3 linked regions of the Alligator mississippiensis genome follow. The protein of the gene in region 1 interacts with the protein of each later gene in a pairwise test. Links are inferred from orthologs where the notes say so. Each region holds a gene or a part of one and is shown in the gene's direction. Other genes may lie near its edges.

What was found. The genes of interacting proteins can lie anywhere in the genome.
Region 2: the proteins of ADRB2 (region 1) and ARRB2 interact in binary tests that used the Homo sapiens proteins (3 or more experiments, as listed by UniProt). The link is inferred for Alligator mississippiensis from reciprocal best matches to the Homo sapiens genes ADRB2 and ARRB2.
Region 3: the proteins of ADRB2 (region 1) and KCTD13 interact in a protein complementation assay, tested with the Homo sapiens proteins (2 studies listed by BioGRID and IntAct, with this or other methods). The link is inferred for Alligator mississippiensis from reciprocal best matches to the Homo sapiens genes ADRB2 and KCTD13.

The regions. Positions count from the first base shown.
Region 1 is NC_081832.1:60,956,057-60,963,488, reverse strand, and holds the start of ADRB2 (beta-2 adrenergic receptor), read left to right. Parts: upstream 1-4,429; 5' UTR 4,430-4,461; coding exon 4,462-5,605; intron 5,606-7,432. UniProt on the Homo sapiens protein: Beta-adrenergic receptors mediate the catecholamine-induced activation of adenylate cyclase through the action of G proteins. The beta-2-adrenergic receptor binds epinephrine with an approximately 30-fold greater affinity than it does norepinephrine.
Region 2 is NC_081838.1:23,720,520-23,728,303, reverse strand, and holds the start of ARRB2 (beta-arrestin-2), read left to right. Parts: upstream 1-4,775; 5' UTR 4,776-4,869; coding exon 4,870-4,892; intron 4,893-6,180; coding exon 6,181-6,211; intron 6,212-6,607; coding exon 6,608-6,668; intron 6,669-6,765; coding exon 6,766-6,810; intron 6,811-7,038; coding exon 7,039-7,235; intron 7,236-7,308; coding exon 7,309-7,368; intron 7,369-7,474; coding exon 7,475-7,542; intron 7,543-7,784. UniProt on the Homo sapiens protein: Functions in regulating agonist-mediated G-protein coupled receptor (GPCR) signaling by mediating both receptor desensitization and resensitization processes.
Region 3 is NC_081830.1:279,175-287,052, forward strand, and holds the start of KCTD13 (BTB/POZ domain-containing adapter for CUL3-mediated RhoA degradation protein 1), read left to right. Parts: upstream 1-4,869; 5' UTR 4,870-5,189; intron 5,190-5,296; 5' UTR 5,297-5,302; coding exon 5,303-5,555; intron 5,556-6,238; coding exon 6,239-6,408; intron 6,409-6,483; coding exon 6,484-6,573; intron 6,574-6,665; coding exon 6,666-6,718; intron 6,719-6,812; coding exon 6,813-7,008; intron 7,009-7,616; coding exon 7,617-7,853; 3' UTR 7,854-7,878. Other genes in the region: ESX-1 secretion-associated protein EspI, read right to left, coding at 1,861-1,995, 2,257-2,377, 2,621-2,822, 4,151-4,183, 4,297-4,539, 4,630-4,741. UniProt on the Homo sapiens protein: Substrate-specific adapter of a BCR (BTB-CUL3-RBX1) E3 ubiquitin-protein ligase complex required for synaptic transmission.

The DNA.
Region 1 (7,432 bases):
TAACCAACAACATCTGTGTTTTCATATTAGCAAAGCTGATTATGAGCAAGTTAATAGCTTGGATGAGCTCTGGATAATTTGTAAAATGGACTATCTTTGTACAAGAACTCAAAGGGCTGTCATTATAAAGATGTAAATCCCACAAATCAAATAGAGCACTAATAACTTACTGTTGTACCTCATTCCCATCAGGGACATAGCTCTGTGTGTTAGCAGGTCCCTGGGCTTCGGGAAAATCTTCCTTTTTCCCCACTTCTCCATCTTACTTTATTAACCATACGAGTGGTTCATAGTGAATACAAATGAGCAAAGACAGATTACATCAAGGTTTTAGATGAGCTGGTCATTTTCTCCACCCTGACTAATAGACAGCCCTGAAGTACACTGTGGAGGTTCATGGTGGGTCAGTATCTGGAAGGTGTGTGAGTTTTTGTGCATGCATGACACATAGCCAGAGCTGATGTTGCATTGTTCAACTGGCAAACTCAGCACGGGCAAGCCCTGCTCCTCCCATTCCCCCACCCCAGTTGGTGTTTTCCAGGTCTCCAGTCTCTTTTCAAGATGTAATACTTCTTGCAAGTGATACCATATATATCTAGATTTTAATATAGGGGGTGCTTCAGGATGTGAAGTCATCTGCTTTCTGAACTCTCAGAGTTCTGTCTAAACACCACAATCAGCAGCGACACAGTGAAAATTAAAGGAATTCCCTTCTTCAGTCACAAAAAATATATATCTTAATTCCATTTTTGATCAGCTCTCAAGAAAGAATGAACAGGTAAACGAGGTGCCATAACTTGTCCCTTCTTACTGTGCTTTCTGCTTTCCTTCCCCATGTTGCCTGCAGGTCCTTATCTCTTCTCAAACATTGCCTAGTCAACAATCCCTCTTTCCCAATCATTTCCTTTGGTGTTTCCACTTCAAGGTGTGTGGCTTTTGGGCATGGGAGGGGTGGATATATGTGCAAAGGAGAGATGGAATGTGCAAGCCATTAAAGTGTCTCAAAGCAAGTAAATGGAGCTGTGTTAAGCAATTATGGGCCAGATCCTTCACTGACCTAGATTAGCACAACTCAGTTTAAGTCAGTGTACCTATGCCGATTTACCCTTGCTAGGAACAGCTGTAACTATAGATACAGGTTTATTAGAGCACAAACGCTTTACCCAACCTCCAGTTAATTGAAACTCATGGTTTATCAAAGGTCATTTCTGTTCCCTAGTGCAACCTGCAGCCTGCTTTGCTTAGTCAATCCTCATTCTTTCTGAAGGCTTTTGGTATTTGCAGGGAAAACAAGGGCTGTGTATATCATCTATTTTATGTTTTTAAATTTGTTTATTTTCATAAAGTTAAGGATTGTGAAGGCTGGGCAGACAGTGGTATTCAGGAACAGGGCAAGAAATGTATGCAGAAATGAGGCTTCTCCTGCTTCAGGGGAAATAAACTGGCCCAACATGGAAAATACCTAGTGATTGACATTGCTTTTAACCTTATTTCCTGTTTCAAAAGTTCAGTGAAGTTCAGCTGAACAAAACCTGTACCTGATGCTGCAAATACTTGCAGTCCTTCATACATCCCCCACCCTTTCTTAAGCCACAAAACTTCCTTCAACATACACAGTTGTGCTCTATAAATAAAATCTTCGGGCCTATTACATACACCAGGAGTAGCACTGACATGAAATGGGACACCTAGTGGATTCAAAGCAGCAAGTTCTGAGATGCTTGCTCTGATCACTACCCCTCAGAGAAAGTGAGAAGAACAAGCAGAGCAGAGTAACTGTTGGCAAGTTTACTTTGCTAATGGGAACATCTGGGATATTTACTGCTTTTGCATTTAATTTCCTATTAGGAATAGAAAAACGAGGCACACTCTTGAAAACCACTGAATCTTTACTGTCCTGAGAACTTTAGAGTGTGATTTAACATTAATAATCCTTCAGAAATCTGAAGAACAATCAGAAGCCCTCTGCCTCCGGGCCATTTTAGTCATAACAATACTTGCATTTCCCTGTTACCTTTCATCTAAAAAGCTGAACAAACCCTGTACCTGATGCTGCAAATACTTGCAGTCCTTCATATGCTAGTTCTGTGGATGACATCATGGGGATTGTTTGTGAGGAAGGGACTGCTTTTGTGCCTAAGAGCATGAATATACCAACAGCATCACCACCACGCAGCCATGGATAATGGATACACAGCATGGCTGTGGACAGAAATGAAATTTTGGGCTGTGACACCATTGTGAGTCCTTTCTGTGCCCTGGGATCTTTAATGACCATGCAAATCACAGCCCTGAGACTTGGAAGACAAGCCCAAAAGACCTCACGCCTTGCAGGAAATTTAATTTAGTTGTGAAAAATGCAGGGCTGAGACAGTATGGTTTTATTCTAAAAAAACCCAGCAAAAATGAAACATAAAGCAGCAGCATTCTTTTCAGTCAGGTTACAAGAAGCTTGGCACCATCTTTATTCCCTAGTTAGCCGATTCTTTGCTTCTGGGGAAAATACTTTTAAAAGTTAAATGAACAGATTAACTATGTCTGGCTTCAGCATGGTGAAGCAGAGTGCACTGGAGTTATATGATCACAAATATTCCTAATAGCATTGGTGTCCTGAATACTCAGGAAATCACTGAGTACATTGTGTCAGGGCCATATTTTACTGTGGCTAGGTCGCTGCTGTAATTGTGAACAGCTGTGTGTGGACAACAATGCTTTCAAGCTGATTAGAGAAAAGGCAACTGACCCTATGTACACACTCCGAGTTATGTAAATTAAAAGTTTAACTTCTCATTTAAGGTCTTTTGAAAATCTAATGTACAGGCAGATAAGGCAGGTACAACCTGTATTACAAATTCTGGTCTGAGGAAAAAGACCTAAAAATAGATGCTATTAGGTAGCAAAAGTCCATAAAAATGCCTTCTTCTCCTTGACTTAAAAAAAAACCTAGAACTCTTGGTTCCAAAATGATATCTTTTATGAGACCAACTGGAAAATGGCAAGAAAATTGTCTTTTTTCTTGCTATTTTCCAGTTGGTCTAATAAAAGGTATCATTTTGGAACCAAGAGTTCTAGTTTTTTGTATGTCTTTTTGTCTCAGACCAACACAGCTACCAAGTACACCCTTCTTCTCCTTGATGCTTTTCAAGAGTCAAAAGATCCCCTTTATGCTCACCAGAAATCCAGAAATTGTACATCACAGCACAAGCTAAGGAAGGATAAGGTCCTTCTAGTACCATTAGTGGCCTCAGGATGAGCTGAGTTGCCCTACAGTAAATTTAAAAGGCTACATGGTTCCCAAAGTATCTGAAGACTCTGTCAGAGCACTCGCCCTTACCCAAACAAAGTGGCTGAGATACTGGCCTCACCTTTCTTGATTCCTCCATACACTTCTGCCAGCGTTCAGTCTAAGCCACCTGCTTGTTTGGCAAATCTGCTGGGGGGGGGCACTGCAGATCCCATCTTGGTCTTACCAGGCCCTGGGAGCTGCAGCCTCCTTGTACACTGGATCCTTGCACATGCTTCTAAAGCAGGAATTGCACAATACTGAAGGGACCCATGTGAGCTCTCCCTCACTTTGAGAGGGGTCACACTGAAATCAGCAGGACTCTCGGAGAAGTGTCCTGATTTCTGGGGGGAGCGGGGGGACGGGTAGGACAGGTTCTGCACCTGTCTTCTTGTGGGGCTTCTGATTATTTGCCCAGTCCCTAAGCTAGGCATTTCATTTAGCCTCCACTTTCCTCCTGAGGAAGGAAGTTTACACTCACTTTCTGATCCGACTCCAGGGATCATGTGCTAAATTCAGACCTGCAGTTAAAAGGGAGGGTGTGGCCGGCTAAAGGCTGCAACTAGAGGAACTAGATCTACCCGCGCCACTCGGTTGGCCCGAGGAGGGAGCTGCGCCGCGCTTCGCTGCACCTGGCGACTGGGTCGAGCCGTCAGACACGGTCCGAGGGCGAGGGAGGGAAGGAGCAGCTGCCGCCTCCCCCCGGCTGAGGGGTCCCGGGCAGATCGAGAGCCCCGGGCTGAGTCGAGCGCTCGCCTCCGCCCGAGCCCGCAGCGGGGAAGTGATCGCGCCCATCCCGCTCCACGCAGCAGCGCCGGATCTGAGACCCGGCCGGCAGCAGCGATCCGCCCCGCTCCGCCCAACCCAGGCCAGCCGGGGGCAGCTGCCGCGCCGTACCGGGAGCTCTGCTCGGAGCGGGTCCCCGCGCGGGACAGCGGGCGCCGCGCTGCGGTCCCCGCTCAGAACGCTCGAGTCGGCTTGCGTGTCCCGCCGGCCTCCCATTGGCTGCGCCCTTTGTGATGTCACGCCCGGCTGTTCTATAAGCTGCCTGGCACATAACGGACTCGGGACACTTGGCTGCTGCCCGGACGGGGCGGGCGGGCGGGCGGCAGGGCTGGGGTTGGGGCTGGGGCTGGAGCTGGCCTGCCCTGGCCGGAGCCCGGCGGCAGCGAGGAGCCATGGCGTCGGCGCGGAACGCCAGCGGGCTGGACAGCGCGAACAGCACCACGCTGTCGGGGGACGTGTGGATGGTGGGCATGGGCGTGCTCATGTCGCTCATCGTGCTGGCCATCGTCTTCGGCAACGTGCTGGTGATCACGGCCATCGCGCGCTTCCAGCGCCTGCAGACGGTCACCAACTGCTTCATCACGTCGCTGGCTTGCGCCGACCTGGTGATGGGGCTGGCCGTGGTGCCCTTCGGCGCCAGCCACATCATGCTGCAGATGTGGCAGTTCGGCAACTTCTGGTGCGAGTTCTGGACGTCGCTGGACGTGCTGTGCGTGACGGCCAGCATCGAGACCTTGTGCGTCATCGCCGTGGACCGCTACTTCGCCATCACCTCGCCCTTCAAGTACCAGAGCCTGCTGACCAAGGGCAAGGCCCGCGTAGTCATCCTCGTGGTGTGGCTGGTGTCAGCGCTCACCTCCTTCCTGCCCATCCACATGCACTGGTATCAGGCGGAAAGCCGGGAGGCCCTGGACTGCTACGAGAAGGCCACGTGCTGCTACTTCTTCACCAACCAGGCCTACGCCATCGCCTCCTCCATCATCTCCTTCTACCTGCCCTTGGTGGTCATGGTCTTCGTCTACGCCCGGGTCTTCCAGGTGGCCAAGCAGCAGCTGAAGAAGATCGACAGGTTCCACGTCCAGGGCTGCCAGCAGCCCGAGCACAGCGGCCGGCCGGGCCGGCGCGCCTCCAAGTTCTGCCTCAAGGAGCACAAAGCCCTGAAGACCCTGGGCATCATCATGGGCACCTTCACGCTGTGCTGGCTGCCCTTCTTCATCGTCAACATCGTGCACGTCATCCAGGACAACATCATCCCCAATTACCTGTACACCCTCCTCAACTGGCTGGGCTATGTCAATTCCGCTTTCAACCCGCTCATCTACTGCCGCAGCCCGGACTTCAGGTTCGCCTTCCAGGAGCTGCTGTGCCTGCGCCGCTCCGCCCTCAAGCTCTACGCCAATGGATACTCCAACAGCAACGGCAGGAGCGACTTCCACGAGGAGGACAACGGCTACCACTCGGGGCCGGATAAGCCTTGCGAGCTGCTGTGCGAGGGAGGTGCCGTCGCGGCCACAGGAGGCTTGTTGCACTGTCAAGGTACTGTGCCCAATGGTCGCCCCGAGCCCCCGGGGGTCAACCCTAGCACCCAGGTGTCCGTGTTGTAGGGCTCGGCCTTCCTTAGGGGCGAAAAGGCACCCGGCGACGTGGCGGCCAGAGGACGGCCGGGAGGTGCCTGCCCGGGGTGTGCGGATGCACAAACGCTGTAGCAAGGACCTATTTATAGGCGCGCCGGGGGGTTATTTTAAGCCTGTTGTAGCAGGCTCATCCCAGGAGGAACGGGTGACTTTTGTGGTGTCCTTGTCACTGTGTTGATCTACCTCAGAGCTCTGGTTAGAACCATCATCTTCATCTTCATCTTCACCGTGGCCTGAACCGCGGAGCTGCCTCCTCTCTGGGGCTGGGCATCGGGTCGGAGGCCTGCCCGTCCCTTCCCCTCCCCCTCCCCCTCCCCAGCGCTGCGGATGCTCTTAGCCGCGGACTAAATACAAAGTTGCGCTGACAACTTTTTTTAAGCGACGCTTTTCTGGTTCACTTCCTCCCCACGCCCGCGCCCGGTCTCACGAAGGGCAGATCAGCTGGGGGAGACTGAGGGGAGGGCTGGAGAAGTGCTCCACGCCTCCCTCGTGGGCTCCGGCAGCCCGGGGGCGGTGCGCGGGGCAGGGGCAGCGCGGAGAAGGCGTCTTTCCGGCCGCCCATCGCCTGTCCGAGGGCGCGGGGGTCCGAAGGCTTCCGACAGCCACGTCCGTGGCCCCCCCCGGCTGCACTAAACACTTGGCGGGGTGTTTTGTTTTTCTCTTCCCCTTGCTCTCCCTGTTGCCCCGGGCTCGGGCAGCCCGGGGGGCTGGGCTGGGCCATGCGGCGGGGGCTGGCAGGACATGATGTACAGACGTGCTGGGCGACAGTGCATCGCGATCAGCACTGCCAGGGCGGCCCTCGGGTCTTCCCTCTGCCCTCCTGCCAGCTCTTGAAGTGCTGCATCTCGGCTCCCGGCCCGGCGGGGGGACGCGCGAGGTCCGGGCTCGGCGGGGCTGCGCGGGGCTGTCAGAGGGAAGCTGATGCTCAGACGCACGCGGACAGGTGCGGGGGGGGGGCGGGGGGAGAGCAGCGACACGGGCCCTTCTCAGATCGGCAGTGGCAGGAAGCGATCAACGACCCCTCGTGCTCTGAAGGGCTGCAAAGAGCGGGGAGTGCAGGGTGCTGCCCAGCTTCGGGGGGAGCAGGCAGGGCAGCGACCCTCGGCCCTCGCTGTGCAGGGTGTCAGCCTGCCCCCTGGCTCCTGGGCCGTGCGGGCTGGGCCGTTCCCGTGTTGCTGCTCTGCTGTTTCACTAGTGCCCCCAGCCTGGGCCAGGGAACTTCCCCCGCTGTCAGCTTGGCTTGAGTAGGCAGCCCCTGCTCACTGCCGGCATCCTGCTGAGGGCAGGGGGCTCTGAGTCTGTTGCCCAGACCCGAGGGGCTCCTAGGAATCCTACCATGGGGGGGAAATCTCAAGCAGGAATGAACAAAATACCAGGGATGCGGCTGGCAGTCTGCTCAATGCTGCTGCCAAGGGGCTGGAAGGACAAAGCTCTCTGCACGGGAGCATCCAGTGCTGCGATTCTCAGGGGTATTGCCAGTGGATTGAAGAGGGACCACTTGCTGCAAAGTCAGACAAGCAGCTGCTGCAGAGCATGGGTTATCTTCTCCCTTTGTTCTTATTGCACTGCCTTACTTCTGGGACACAGGGTAGTTTCTCAGTAGCTTCCTGGGCACTCAGCAGCTGCTAGGGCTAAGATCATCCTAGGCTTTACCATTTCCAGTGAGGACAGCTACAGAGACTGTCACTGGAAGAGCTGGCCTGCAGCAAGCTGTGTGCACCTCCATCAG
Region 2 (7,784 bases), on another chromosome or scaffold:
TGCTTGTCCGGGCAGCCTTTAGTCAGGTAGAGATTTACCTTCCCAACCCACTGTGTAGCAGCAGACCTCAGGGCCAACCCCTCTCCTCAGTGCTGTTGACTAGTGTGTGTGCGCCAGGGGGAAATATTGTCGCTGCTGGGCTACTGCACACGGTGGGAAGGCCGGAGGCAGATGCCTTCCCAGCTCTCGCAGGAGAAAAGTTTTCCAAAATGAGCTCATCCCTACACTTTCAAGTTAACCCCCCACACCCCTCCCAGCATTTCATAGAAATGAAGTGTATGGGACAGGCCCTAGAGCTGGGGTGGCCAACTGGTGGCTCTGGGGCCACGTGCGGCTCTTCAAAAGTTAATATGCATCTCCTTGAACCTTTGCACAAGCACGGTGACCAGCTGCTATAGCCGTTATGTCACGTGACATGACTGCTTGCATATTACATATTACTGTGGCTCTTTGGCAATGTACATTGCTAAATTCTGGCTCCTTCTCAGGCTTAGGTTGGTCACCCCTGCCCTGGAGGGAAGCCAGGCCGGAGCAGGCCAGACCTGCTGCCATCCAGCCCACTCATACCTTAGAGAACCCTTTTATCAACCTTGGTCACTGCATGCAGTCGAGGCCCTTCGGTGCCACCGCGGGGTTGCTCTTGGCTCTGAAGCTGTGTGCCCCCCTGGAGGTGGAAGCGCAGGGGCAAGATCCTCTAGCCAGGACCCTGCGGGATTGGTGCTAGCAGCAGCACCTAGTGCCTCTGGGGGAGGCTTAAAAACCCCTTGACACATGGGGCAACAAGGGGGGGGGGCACCCAGCAGCCAGGGAAGAGTCCCAGGCAGGGCTGAGGCACTGCGACACTCAGGTCATCCCCTGCTTTTGGATATCAGCTGTATCAAATGTGGTCTCTTGACAGGGGGTAACCTGGGCCTGGGTCTCTTCCAGCTAGCTGGGCTCTGTTGCATGCTGCCACCCCCCCATGAGTCAGGGGGTTTCCCTTCCCCTAGCAGCATTGGGTGCTGCTGCAGCCCAGGCTGGGGGTGGGGACTGGGCTGGGCTGCTGCCGGGGACTCAGCCCTGGCACGTTGGGGTGGGAAGGAGGAAGCTGGGAGCCCAGATGTCTTGGTTCTCTTGGATGGGAGCGGGCTGGAGTGTGATGGCAGGGGGGTCTGGGAGCCTGGATGTTGGAGTTCTCTCACCAGGTCTTTGTGGGCAGCTGCACAATTATTGTAACAGACTTTTATTAACCATGACTTAGTGCTTGCTTTACCTGACTTGTGCAAACGTGTTGGGCATTATGCTGCAGAGCTACTCAGACTTTTTTTAGGAGCACTTTTTGCCACTTCATTTGTAAATTGGGCTGCATCATTGTTTGTTCCGCTACTGCAACATTTCCTGTTTGAGCGACCAGCTTCACACTTTGCTCCAGAAGCAAGATTTGGTTTTACAAAACTGGAAATTCTGTATGTAAAATAATATATTTTTGCATCGGTTCAATTGAGGTTTGGGTCAGGGTTGATTTTCAAATGGTATTGTTTTTTATGGAGGTAAAAATACAATGTTTTTGTTTTAAATGCATGATTTTTACAGATAAACTAAAGACGTTTGACAATACTGGGGTTTCTTTTCCTTCTGTTTCTGTCGTTCTTCTGTCTCCGCCACTGAGCCACTGCATGGGATCAACTGTGATAACAGGTTGAAGTCATGGCCCTTGGCCACTGCATCAGCCCAACCAGGAGTGGGGTGCTCCAGCCCCACTGTCCTCAAAGAATCTCAGTGGTGGCAGCAGATACTTTAGCCCCCTGGATCCACTAGGGCTGACTGTGATGGACACTCTAGTCCCCGTTTGTGCAGGCGGATGCTTTAGCCTGCCACAGCCACCTGCATTTCCATGGTTAAGGACATCCAACCCCCCTCCCCTCGAGTTTCAATGGTACCAGCTGTTCTTGGCAGCATGGAGGACCCCTCATTCATTTAAATGTGCCCCCAACCCTCACTGTCCTAGCATCAGCCCCTTCCCCTAAAATGCCCTCCTTACCCACAATGCACCTGAAAGCCCAACTCCCTCTCCCCCCATACAGCCAACCAATCACTTCCCCTCTAGAGACAAGTCCCCCCCCTACCCACAATGCAGCTGGAAAAGCCCTTGGGGAACCTCTCCCTCCAGAGCCTTTGCACCCCCCACCCACCCATAAAGCCAACCCCAACAGAGCCAAGGCCTAATGCACTGGGAAGCACACTTGAGAACCCCCCCTCCATAGAGGGAATCTCAATTCCTTCTTCCCCACCATAAATCCAACCCCTGCATGCTTACTCCCTAATATAGCCAACCCCACAATGGATGTGGAAAAGCCCTTGAGAACTGCCCAGTCCTCCCCCCCCCCCAACATAGAACCAGCCTCTCCATCCTACTCTTTCTGTGTAGCCACTTCAACCTACCCACAATGCACCTAACCGCCCCCCCCCCCCGCTCTCTGCTCCCTAGTGGACAGACAACCTCCCAATCCTTTTCTCCTATAAAGAAGACCATCTCCAGTCTGGTCCTCTATATATAGCAAATACCCCTATAGCCAACCCCCATCCTTCCCCTTCCCCTCCCCCTCCAGTATAGAGCCAATCTTCTCCCCATGAGACACCCGAGGCTCTAGGGCAGCTGCAGGGTCCACTTCCATTGCACAAGACAAAAACCTCCAGCGTGGGGGGGGGAGACAGATTTGGGGGGTGCAACACCCCAGAGCTGCGGCTCAGACCCCCCACAGAAAGGGGACTGCTAGATCCCCCCAACCCCCTTCTTGTCGGTCCAAGGACCTGACTCTGCTCCCAGCAAGGGGCCCCCATTACCAAAAACCGCTGCTGCCCGCTCCCGGGAAGCATTTGACAGGGAGGGGCAAGAACAGAAGATCATCGTCCGGGGGGAGGGGGGGGGGGGAATAAATAAGAGGCGGCAGCTACCATTCGGCAGCTGAGCGCAGGGGGGGAACAGAGGGAGGGAGGTACCACTTGGCGGCGACCCCTGGAAAGCGACGAGAAGGGGATGGGCCTGGACGGTTCCATTCTGTTCAAGGTGGGGGCTATTCATGGGGACACTTCGACGAAGCCCCTAATTCCCCCCACCCCCATCATTCTGGGGGCGGGGGTGGTTATAAGAGCCGGATTGTACCGGAGGAGGGGGTGGAGCGGGATACGGGGGAACTAAGCTCCCTTTTACACTTCGGGGGAGAATGGTACGGCCCACAGAGCTCCCGGGCGCGGGGACAGGGGTCACGTGACAAGGCCCAGAGCTGGGTCATATGGGCACATAGAAATTGGATGATCCCCCGCAAGAGGGTCGTAAAGGGACTTGAGCCGCCCCGCTGGTCCCAGTCCCCCACCGAGAACCAGGGTCTGGGCCTCCAGTCCCCTCCTCCCACCCCAGGCCCCTCCTCTCGCAGAGACTTAGACCCTTAGTCCTGGGGCTAGGGGACAGATGCCCTGTCCGTATAGTCCTGGGCCTAGGTGACCTAATCTCCTCTGCGTTACACTGAGACCGCTGTGTCGTTAGGCCTGCCCTCGTTAATCCCAGCCCTGTCCAAACCAGCCCAGACGATCCCGTCCAGAGCACTGGGCACAGACTGGTTCAGACCAGGGGTCCCCTCCTTGCCCCCCAGCTCTGCCCAGTCTCGGGTCAGCTGGATCCTGCCAGTCCCCCCGGGCCCGTAACCACAGGCAGGTTCCTGGCTGGGGTTGAGTCACGCCCGCCCCCAGCGCCCCGTGGTGGCCGGACGTGGGTATGGGCGTGTGCGTGTGCCAAGGGGCCGCGGGTGTGAACACAGCGCTGTGTGCAAGAGGGGTGCGGTTGTGTCCAAGCACAGGTGTGTGTGTGTGTGGGGGGGGGATGTATGTGCACTGGGTATGAAGATGTGCGTGTGTGCAGCTCCATGCACAACTGTCTGCTGTGTGCACATGCGTGTGGGTAAGATGCAAGTTCACTTACATGTGTCTAAAAATTTGCATGTGTGCATGTGCAGATCTGTGCTCAAGGGTGGTGTGGAGATCTGTGCAGTCATGTTTGCACGTATGAGGGTGTATGGGTGCATGTGTGGGGTGTATGTGCATGTGGGCATGAAAATGTGTGCATGTGTGCATGCAGCTCCATGCACAGCTGTGTGCACATGCATGTGAGGATGGTGGGAGTTCACCCGTGTGTGTCTACAAATCTTGGTATATGTGTGCAGATCTGTGCTCAAAGGTGTGCGCATGCAGATCAGTGTACGTGTGTTTGCACGTGTGTGTATGTCTGCAGGCCTGTTTGCACACGTGTGTGCATGTGCAGGTGGGGGTGCATGTGTGCAGGTGGGGGCTCATTTGCACATGCGTGCACACACACACACAGACACACACTTGGCTGCCTGTGGAGACCTGTGGCCAGAACAAAGCATGTGTGTGAGGATCCAGGCCCAACTGCCCATGTGGACGGCTCTGCATTGGTGTGCTTCCATACACGTGGGGGACGCAGGCACACCTGTGTGCGCCCAAAAACGTGCAACTGTGTGCATCTGCACAACCCCCATGCGCATGGATGTGTGTGTGTGTGCAGACCTGTGCACATGCGTGCAGGTGTGCGTGGAGTGGTTGCAGGTGCACACGCGTGTGTACTACATGTGTAAACATGTGCCTGCATGTACACGCACAAGTACAAAGCACACGCGTGTACTACGCCTGGGGCACGCGAGGGGGGAACTCTCCCGCCCTTGACGTCCCCCCCTCCTCCCCCGCGCGCCCTGTGATTGGCTGCCCCGCCCCCCCACGTGACCGCCCCCCCCTCCCCTGCCATGTCCCCACTCGGGTCCGCAACTCCCTGCAGCCCGCGCCGGGGGCTCCCGCCGCCCGCCTAGGACCCCCCGCGCCATGGGGGAGAAGGCGGGCACCAGGTGAGGGGCAGGGACCCCAGGCGTCTGGACGCCCCCCCCGCGAGAGCCCCGGCGTCCGGGCCAGCCTCCCGCGCCCACCCCCTCCGCTCCTCCGGCGTCCGCCCCCCGCTCCCCGGCTAATCTGGGCTCAGGGTCCTGCCGTGCCAGGCTGGGAGGGGAGGGGGAATGATGGAGCTGCCCGCGCCTGGCATCGCCGGCCCCGGACGCCTGGGTCCGTTTTTTGTGGGGGGCGAGAGAGACCAGGACGCCTGGGTTCTCTGGAGACCCCTGGCCCCGCCGGTGCCCCTCACTCCTGCCCCGCAGCCCCCTACTGCCCAGTGCCCTTCACTCTTGATCTGCAGCCCCCCAAAGCCTCATGGGTGCCCCATACTCCCGACCTGCAGGCTCCTGCCCCCCCAGCCCTGCCAGTGCCCCTCAATCCTGACCCGCAGCCCCTGCCCCACACCCTTTGGGGCTGGGGGAGGGAAGCTGCAGCTAATGAGGCAGTTGAGCCTTTTGGGGCTTCCAGGCCAGAAAGAGGAAGTGAAAATTGCCAAGCGTTAATTCGGAAGTTGGCAAGGGCTGGGTGGGGGTGGGAGGGTGCAGGGGGAGAGGAGATGTGACCCCCCTCCACTCCACAGTTCAAGCCCCAGGGTACTGCAGGGAGCAGGGATAACGGGTCCCCTGTGCGGCTGGCTCTGGGGTGGGGCGTTGGGGCTGGGTAGAACAGGTCCTAGGTGCGGCTGCCTCTGGGGTGGAACAGGGCCAGGTGTAACGGGGTTCCCTGCTGCAGCTGGTGGTGGGGTGGGGGGCATCATTGCACTGCAGCCCCCCAGATCAGGGTCCTGTTCTGGGTTGTGGGGGGCAGGTTGGCCATTGTGGGGGATGGACGGACATGAGGATCCTCCGTGCTACTTCCCGTCTAGAAACAAACAGGAAGCAGCACGTCCTGTCACAGCCACGGCCCCTCCCTACCCCCACTGCCCTGCCTGTGTCCCTCACTCCTGACCTGCAGCCCCTGCCCCCCCAACCCTCCTGGTGCCCCTCACTCCTGACCTGTAGCTCCTGCTGGTGCCCCCTGCCCCCAAGGACTAGGCTCCTCATCACCCTTAAGGCTCCTCCTGGACTCCCCCTCAGGCCTCTGTAGATGCCCCCAGGCTTCATGTTTCTGTGGCAACCAGCTAGGCCTAAGCCCATCTTTAGGAGTTTGGTGGTTATGGGCCTGGGGGCAGAGCAGGGGGGAGGTCAAAGATCAGGTCTGATCCCCTGGATGTTGCGGGGGCTGAGGCTGTGATTCTCCCCTCTGCAGGGTCTTCAAGAAGTCGAGCCCTAACTGCAAGGTGAGTGATCCCTGCCCTCCACCAGCCCTGCGTGCCCCTCACTCCTGAACCGCAGCCCCCCCCGCCCCCCCTTCGGTTTCCTGTAGCATTTCCACCCCTGCCCATCTTCCTTCCTCCCCCCCCCCTCCCCCCAACTTGGCCACAAGGTGCGGGGGAGGGGCTGTGGCTGGGTTAGATTCAGGCTGTGGCTCGTGAGTCCAGCACAGCCTAGGAGGGGTTAATCCCCCCTCCTTGCACCTGGGGGATCCTGTAATGGGGGGACCAGGAGCTGGAGGGCAGTTTTGGGGGGCTGTGGGTTGGGAGTAAGGGGCACTGGCAGGGGTGTTGGGGGCTGGGGGGCAATTCTGGGGTCGGGAGAGGTCTGCTCCCCCTGTCACGTTTCCCCCCCCCCACCAGCTGACTGTCTACCTGGGCAAAAGGGACTTTGTGGACCACCTGGACTCCGTGGACCTCGTGGGTGAGTTGGTTTGGGGGGGTCAGGAAAAGGGTCTGCGGGAGTGTGGGCTGTTGGTGGGCTCGTCCAACCCCCCCTACACCTTTTCCCCTCCCCCCAGATGGCGTGGTGCTGGTGGACCCTGAATACCTGAAGGACCGGAAAGGTGGGCATGGCCTGGACCTATGGGGGGGAGGTGTCCTCGGGGGTGTGGCTTGATGGATGGGTGATCCCTTGGTTCCTGGGATGGGGGGTGTCCCAAGGGGGTGGGGCTTGGGGTCTGAAGATCTTGTTGTGGGGGTATTGCCTGAGGGGTTGGGGGGGTCTCCAAGGCGTGGGGCCTGGGGTTCCCCAAGACGGTGTGGCTTGCACTGACCCCACCCCAACCCCGCAGTGTTCGTGACGCTGACCTGCGCTTTCCGCTATGGGCGCGAGGACTTGGACGTTCTTGGTCTGTCCTTCCGCAAGGACCTGTTCTCGGAGGCACTGCAGGCTGCGCCCCCCCCTGCATCCCCCCCACTCACCCCCACCCGCCTGCAGGACCGTCTGCTGCGCAAGCTGGGCCCTCGAGCCCACCCCTTCGCCTTCAAAGTGAGTGGCCTCCGCAAACCCCAAACCAGCCCCCAGGGACCACCCTGTTTAACTGTTTCTGCCTCCCCCCCAGATACCCCCCAATCTGCCATGTTCGGTGACGCTACAGCCAGGGCCTGAGGACACGGGCAAGGTAGGGGCTGTGGGTCAGGAGTGAGGGGCACCCGCAGGCCTGGGTGGGCAGGGGGCTGCAGGTTGGGAGTGAGGGGCACTGACATTAACAGGGTCTCCCCCTCCAGGCCTGTGGGGTCGACTATGAGATCAGAGCTTTCTGTGCCAAATCCTTGGAGGAAAAGATTCACAAGAGGTAAGGGGCTACCATCCCCCCCTGCTCACCTCCCAGCATGGGCAACTGCTTTCACCTTAGTTGGGGGGACACATGCCTCCCCGTGACTAGTCCCACCAACAGGGGGGTCCCCCCACGGTTTCTCTCACTGCTGGGGGGTGGGTCCCAGAAGTGGCTGGGAGTGATTGGCCAGTGCTTGTGTGACCGGCCAGGGGGTGCACCGGCGCTCGGTGCGGGGGGATGAACCTAGGTGTCCAGGCTCC
Region 3 (7,878 bases), on another chromosome or scaffold:
AGCACGGGCGAGGGCGGGGGCGGGCGCCGGCAGGAGCTCCTATAGGGGCCGGGGCCGGGGGCGGCCGCGAGACGCCCGCGGGCTCCCCGGGGCGCCGGCAGGGGCCGGGCGCGGCTCCATGGGCGGCGGCGGCGGCGGGGCGCGCAGGGGCAGGGCAGGATGCTGTGGGGGCGCTCGGGGCCGAGGGGCTGTGGGGGCCGGGCGACGCGGGGAGGCTCTAGGGGCGGGCCGCGGGGGCCGGGCGGGGGTCGCTGCTCCGTGCGACCGCCGCCGCCGCCGTCCCCGCGTCCAAGATGGCGCCTGCGGCCGGAGCCGAACCGGAACCAGGCCCGACCACCGCGCGCACGCGCAGTAGAGGGGCCGGGGAGGGGAAGGGGGCGCACACGCATGCGCATGGCATGGTGCCCCCGTCGAGCGCATGCGCGGCGGGCGGGGAAGAGCTGGGAGCGACGCGTCGCTAGGGAGCGGCTACACCCGCTTGGGACCCGGCGCATGCGCAGGGGGGGAAAGGCCGAGGGAAGGCGCGTGCGCAATAGAAGCGCGGCGCCCTCTGAAAGGAGGGGCGGTGAGTAGCTAGGCGCATGCGCAACTGCATAGCGCTGGGCCAATCAGCGGCAAGACCTGCCATACGGCCGGAAACGGGCGTGACCACAAAGCAAGAGGAAAGTGATATTGGATTGGTTGGCTCCAAGAAGAGGGGCGGGACAAAAAGTAAACCTAGGTAGGGATTGGCCGGCCGAATAACGGTTGCAGGAAAAGGGGCCGCGGCCGTGGGCGTGGCTGCGGTCGTTGCGAACTCCGAGCTCTGACTGGACGAAGCCGCTCGGGGCTGGGGCGGGGCCGGAGGCCAAGAGTCTCCTTCTTATAGGTGTGCGCAAAGCCCGGGGGCGGGGCCACCCCTCCGCGTCTCCGCCCGCTGTTACCAGGGCAGGATTGGTGGCCGCGCATGCGTAGCGGTGCCCTGTGGGACCCGCCAGAAAAGGGCGGGAAAACGGGGCCAACGGCCCGAAGCGGCCGTTACACATCACCTGGTCAAGATGGCGGCTGAGAAAGCCCTTCCCGTCGTGGGGGACACCGTCTGCCTGGCCTGAGGCAGCGACACCAGGCGGGAGGGCACCGTGCCACGGCCCCAGCCATGCTGCTGGGGGAGCCAGCCCTGCCGGCTCCGTGGGGAGGGGTGCTGGTAGCAAGCAGAGACACCATACACCCGCCAGCCCCAACGTGAGGGGAGCCAGCCCCGCCGTCACCACCCCCGGGGCCGGAGGAGAGCCGCGCACTGCCAGCCCGGGCCGGGGCAGACGATGCCCTCGTGGCCGTCGGCGCCACTGCTGCTTGTGACCGAGGCGCTGCCCACCCAGGGAGGGGAGGACGCCCCCATGGCCGCCAGCCCTCCGGAGCGGCAACACCGGCGTGCATCTGGCCACGTCCTGCCCGTGGCCGCGGAGGAACAGGAGCCTGGGGCCGCGGGGAGACGCCCCGGCCCCAGGCTCCCGCTCAGCCGGGCGCGAGACCGCCATGGCTGCCAGCCCGGGAGGGGGGCCGCGCTGCCTGCTGGCCCCGGAGCAGACGCCGCTCCCGCCAGCCTGGGGCAGGCACGAGACCCCCCGCGCCCGCCACCCCCGCCCGGAGGGCTCTCGCGCACCAGCCCCGCGGGGAGGGCACGCGGCCCCCACGGCCCAGCCGCGGCGCGCAGGAAGCAGGACGCGGGGCCAGGTAGGCTCCAAACATTTATTAGGGCGCCGCAGCTGCAGCCGGCACCTGGGGGGGCGTCAGGGCACCGGGCCCAAGCGGAGCCACGTTAGGTGCCTGGACAGCCGGGGCCCTGCGCTCCGTGGGGCGGGGTGACCCCCCCGGGCAGCGCTACACCTGGGCCCACTTGTCGCGGGCAGGCGTGGGCCAGATGCCGGCGGCCGCCAGCGCGAGGCCCAGGGCGCAGAGGCCCAGCAGGGCCAGGCCGGACAGCACCAGGCGCTGGCTACACAGCGCGCGCTCCTCCTGCGGGGGGAAGGAGGGGTCAGGGCAGCCGCAGAGCCCCGCCCCCTCGCGCCCCTGCCCATAGCCCCGCCCCTGTTGCTGTTCTCCCCCCGTAGCCCCGCCCCTGTTGCTGTTCTCCCCCCGTAGCCCCGCCCCCCCACTATTGCTTGGCGACCGTCATAGCCCGGCCCCCGTTGCCCCGCCCCTCCCCATGTACACGCCTGCATTGGGCCCTACTCCCTGCCCCTGCCGTGACGTCCCCGCGCCCCGACCGCGCCTCACCGGGCTGAGCGTGGGTGTGAGCGCGGGATCGGGGTGGTAGCGCGGGCGGAGGCAGCCCCCGGTCCCCTGCGTCACTCCGGCCGCGGCCTCCGTGGGGCCCAGTACGCAGCGCGGCGGCTCCCTGCGGGGGTAGGGCCTTCAGTAGGGGAAGAGCCTAGGCCGGCCCGGCCCCTCCCCGCACTCACCTGTGTCGGGGCAGCAGCGCGGCGGGGCCGTCCAGGCGCAGGCAGGAGCTGCCGGGGCCGCCCCAGGGGCTCAGCGCCACCAGGCGCACAGGCAGTGCAGCCGCCGGGCCTGCGGGGGGCGGGGTCAGTGCGGGGCTGGAGTAGGGGGCGGGTCACGGGCGGGGTGGGGCGGGGCTCACCTGCCAGCCCGAGGCGGCGCGCGGAGACGGTGGCCGCGAAGCGCGTGGCGTTGGGGCGGGGCCCGCCTGGGAGGTCGAAACGCAGTGACACCTGCACGGACACGGACGCGGACGCAGCCGTCCCGGCCGTTGGGGGCGGCGCCGGGCCGGACTCGGGGCAGAAGCGCAGCTCGGCCACGGCGGCCAGCAGCGCGTTCCAGTCCTGCAGGGGTAGCGCGCTCAGTACCACCCCGCCCCACCCCGCGGCCCCGCTCGGCCACAGCGCCTCACCTGCGCCTCGGAGTCCCGCACGTTGTGCGCCTGGACGTGCGCGCCCAGCGCCGCCAGCGCCAGCCCCAACGCCGCCAGCCCCAGCGCACAGGCGACCAGCGGGGGGCGCTGCACCAGACACTGCCGCAGCGGGCTCGGCCCCCCCGCCATGCGCGCAGCTGCGCCCCGGTCCCTTTAAGGCGCGGCGCTCCCGGCGTGTGAGGCGCGCTGGCGGAAGCTCCGCCGCACCGCGCATGCGCCGAGGCTAGGAGGCGGTGCCAGGAGGCAGCGGAATGCGGGGCCCCCAGCGCGGCTCCAGCGGCCTCTTACGACGCTGGCGTAGCCATGCTGGAAAAGGGCAACCAGCCTCTCTGGGACTGTAGAGACAAGGGAACCTGCCGCTGCCCCTGGGAGGGGAAGCGTTACACACCGCCCTCTCCCGACCCAGCTGCAGCAGAAAACAATGCTAGGGGCCTGAGGTGGAGGCAGCAAGACAGTCTATCACACCCACCCTCGCAGTTGCCCATAGCCAAGAACAACAAGGACAGGGGGTCACCCCACTAGACACACTCGGCCAGAGGTGAGTGAGCCCTCCTGCTAGGGCAGCACTGCCTGCAACAGGGGCAGAGCCCCGGGGCTCGGAGGCAGAAGGCAGCTGTCTGCCTGCAGGCGCAGGCTTGGACACCTTCCATTTGTCTTGGCCTGGAGCACCTAGGCAAACTACTGGGACCAGGCAAAGGGCAAAGCAAAACAGTGGGACCATGCAAAGGGACGTAGGATTTAATGGGGACAGAACAGGAGATAACAAGACAGAAGCTGACAGACTGACCAGGCCAGGCCAGGCCAGGCCAAGCCCCAAGGCCACCATGTGCCCTCCACAGAACACCCTGGGGACCACAGCTGTCCCCTGCCTCTGTGCCAGGTGCATTCAGGGTGGGGGGGACCAGCCCCCACCACCAAACCTGCCCCCAGACGTAACTCCCCCAATGCACCAGGGGAGCCCCTTCCCCCACGGCCCATCAGGAGTCAGGCACCGGGGCAGAGGGCAGGTGTCCCTGGGGCCCTGCCCCGGGGTCATAGCAGCATCTTCAGCCCCTGGAAGGGAATTTAACCCTTCCCATCCAGGGCATCTGTGTAGACGGCCACACTGCTGGGCACTGCGGAGACAGAGCTGTGGTTAGCACAAGAGAACCCAGGTGTCCGGGGCTGTGCACCCCTCCCCCAACTGCCCGACCCCAGGCATCCAGGGGCTGCTCAGCCCCCCCCCCCCGCGGCACTCACCTTGCGTGTGCTCCTTCCAGATGTGATCCCAGGCTGTGGGGAGAGCAGGGGGTGAGGCCACGCAGTGCCCCCCCACAGCGCCCCACGCTCCCGCCCCACAGCCCGCCCGCCTTGCCCGCCACCCCCTGCAGTGCCCCGCCCCTCACCGTCGCGGTGGTAGCTGCGCGCCGCCTCCCAGTCCGGGCGGCTCATGCCGTCGCGCGGGGCGGCGGGGGGCCCCGGGTCGCTGATGAACGAGAGGCCCCAGCGGTTCTGGAAGATGGCGCCCAGCTGGGGCCGCGGCGGGGGCGCACGGCGCGGCGGGACCCAGGCGTCCGGGGCCGGGCGCGGCGGGGGGCGCGGCCGCGCCGTGTCGGGGTCCTCGACGAAGGCGCTGGGGTCCCGCGGGGCTGCGGGCAGAAGGGGGAGGGGGTAAGCGGCCGCCTGGGCCGGTCTCGCGGTGCGGGCGGCAGCGGGACAGCTAGCCTCCGCGGCGGTACCTGGAGACAGGCGGTTGGAAACGTCGTGCAGCCCCGCCGCCACCGCCACCTTGTCGCCGCGCGGAGCCCGCGCCGCACCCTCGGGGTCCCGGTTCTCGTCCGCGCCCCGCATGGCCCCACGCAACACGTGCGGCCCGCGTTTGCCACGTGACTCCCCACCCCACTTCCTCTTCCGCCCTCAGGTGACGCCCAGGCGCTAACGACAGTGCGCACCTTCTGACGTATCCCCTCTCTTCCCCTCCCCAACAGGCCTAAAGGCTCTAGGTCTGTGCGCATGCGCCAGAGGGCCTGCCTGCCGGGGAGAGGTAGCGCCCTCCTGTGGCGGATGCGCCGCTCGCTCTTACGCTGCCGCGACGTTGCATTCTGCGCATGAGTAACGCTCGCCACGCCCTCTCCCTGTAGCTCGGCGGGGAGAACCCGGATGTGCAGGCTAAGCGCGGGGGTCCGGCGCGCAGGCGCGGTGCGGTTCTTGGCTCGGGCTGCCGGTCGCTGACAGCTCGGCGGGCGCAGGAGAAGGGGCGGCCGCGGGGGGCCTCGGCACCCACCCCCGGCGGGACGGGGTGAGCCCAGGGCCGCCGGGCAGCAGGGGGCTGTGGCGGGGTCGGAGGTCGCCGCGCCGGGGCAGGGGACGTCTCCGCGGGCTCACCCCGGCCTCCCCTCCCCGCAGGCGGCGATGTCGGCGGAGGCCACGGCAGCCCCGGGCCCCGAGGCCTGCGCCCCCGCGCCGCCCGCGCAGCCCCCCGCCCCGGCCGCGCCGCCCGCGGGCGCCACCTTCGACCTCAAGCCCCTGAACCCCAGCAGCAAGTACGTGAAGCTGAACGTGGGCGGGTCGCTGCACTACACCACGCTGCAGACCCTGGGCAAGCAGGACACCATGCTCAAGGCCATGTTCAGCGGCCGCATGGAGGTGCTCACCGACAGCGAGGGTAGGGCCCGCGCTGCGCCCCTGCCCCACTCACTGCCCCCCACCGCCCCTCCCCCCGTCCTCCTGTCCCGCTCACTGCCCCCTGCCCCACCGCCCCTGCCCCGCCACCTGCTGACTGCCCCCGTCCTCCTGCCCCCACCCTCCTGCCCTGCCACCTGCTGACTGCTCCCCCATCCTGCCCCGCTGACTGCCCCCTGCCCCCCACCCTCCTGCCCCACTGCCTGCTGACTGCCCTCCTGCCCCACTGACTGCCCCCTGCCCCGTCTTCCTGCCCCACTGACTACCCCCTGCCCCACCGCCCCTGCCCCTGCCCTCCTGCCTTGCTGACTGCCCCCCGCCCTGCTGACTGCCCCCCCTACCCCCTGCCCCTGCCCTCCTGCCCTGCTGACTGCCCTGCCATTTGCTGACTGCCCCCCCCCCAGCTCTGGTGCTCCTGCCCCACGGCCCCCCCCAGTGCCCCCTGCTGAGAACTGCCATGTCCGGGATCCATTGCTTCCGGTGGTCTGGCTGGAGCAGCGGGGGGCGGAGGGGCAGGTCCGGGCAGGGGAGCCCGTCGAGAGGCCCGGAGGAGGAAGCGCCAGGCACGGCCCCGCGCGGCGAGCAGAGCCCTGCTCTGCGTCAGGCCGCCCAGAGCCTGGCGCGGGCCCTGCTGGCCAGCCGCCCTCTCAGCCCCGGCCCCCGCAGGCTGGATCCTGATCGATCGGAACGGGCGCCACTTCGGCACGATCCTGAACTACCTGAGGGACGGGGCGGTGCCGCTGCCTGCGTCGCAGCGGGAGCTGGAGGAGGTGCTGTGCGAGGCGCGCTACTACCTCATCCAGGGGCTGGTGGAGGACTGCCAGCTGGCCCTGCAGGTAACCTGGGGGCGGGGGCAGGGCTCCGGCCGCACACGGTGGGGGGGGCAGCGGTGACTGGGTGTCTCCGCGTAGAACAAGAGCGAGGCCTACGACCCCCTGTGCCTGATCCCCATGGTGACGTCCCCCAAGGAGGAGCAGCAGATCATCTCCAGCTGCTCCAAGGTGAGCGATGGGGAAGGGGCAGGACGGGGACCCTCTCCTCGCGCTGTCCTGCCCAGCTCCAACCCCCCACCCTGTGGCTCCTCTCCCCACAGCCGGTGGTGAAATTGCTGCATAACCGGAGCAACAACAAGTATTCGTACACCAGGTAAGGATGCCCTGGCCCCCAGCCTCTGCCCTGCCCTGCCCTGCCCTGCCCTGCCCCGCTCACGGTGCCACTGCCTCCCCCCCTCCCCCAACAGCAACTCGGACGACAACCTGCTGAAGAACATCGAGCTGTTTGACAAGCTGGCGCTGCGCTTCAACGGGCGCGTGCTCTTCGTCAAGGACGTGCTGGGCGACGAGATCTGCTGCTGGTCCTTCTACGGGCAGGGCCGCAAGATCGCCGAGGTCTGCTGTACCTCCATCGTCTATGCCACCGAAAAGAAGCAGACCAAGGTGTGGGACACCCCCCCACCCCGCAGTCGGCTTGGTACATCCTGCTAGGCAAGGCTGACAGGGAGCTGCACTGCACCCCGCCTGTGGCCACTTGCTACATTTCCCCCCCCCCCCCCAATATGGGAATTTGGTGCAACCCAGTAGGAGTGGGAAACTCCCCCCCACACCTTGGCACTTGCTATGTCCCAAATCTCTTCATCAAGCTCTACACTGGTTTGGTATGTCTCAACCCCCCATTTTATGAGCACTTGAGATGGTCCAAACCTCCCCCCCCTTATATTGGCATTTGGTATTTCCCAGAGCGCTGCCTAGCCCTAGAGCCTTGTTTAGACTTTCCCCCCTTCCCATTGATATTTGGTATGTTCCAGATCTCCCCGTTATGTTGGTATGGTACATTCCATCCCCCCTGCACTGACAGTGGTACGGTCTGAGCCCCTGTGTCCCCACCTCTTGTTGATATTTGGTACATCACACTGTGCTGAGTGAAGCCATTTTTGGTTTCTCCTATTGGTCTTTGGTACAGTCCAGAGCGAGCTGGATTGCACAGCTCCCCCATCCCAAGGGGAGTTGGTATGCCCTGGCCCCTCTGACCCCTGACCCCCGCGCAGGTGGAGTTCCCCGAGGCGCGGATCTTCGAGGAAACCCTGAACATCCTGATCTACGAGACGCCGCGGGTGCCCGACAAGGCGCTGCTGGAGGCCACGGGCGGCGCGGCCGGTGGGGGCGGGGCGGCCCGTGCCGAGGACGAGGACGGGCGCGAGCACCGGGTGCGGCGTATCCACGTGCGGCGCCACATCACTCACGACGAGCGTTCCCACGGCCACCAGGCTGTCTTCAAGGACTGACCTCCTGGCTGCCCCCACCCTTGGT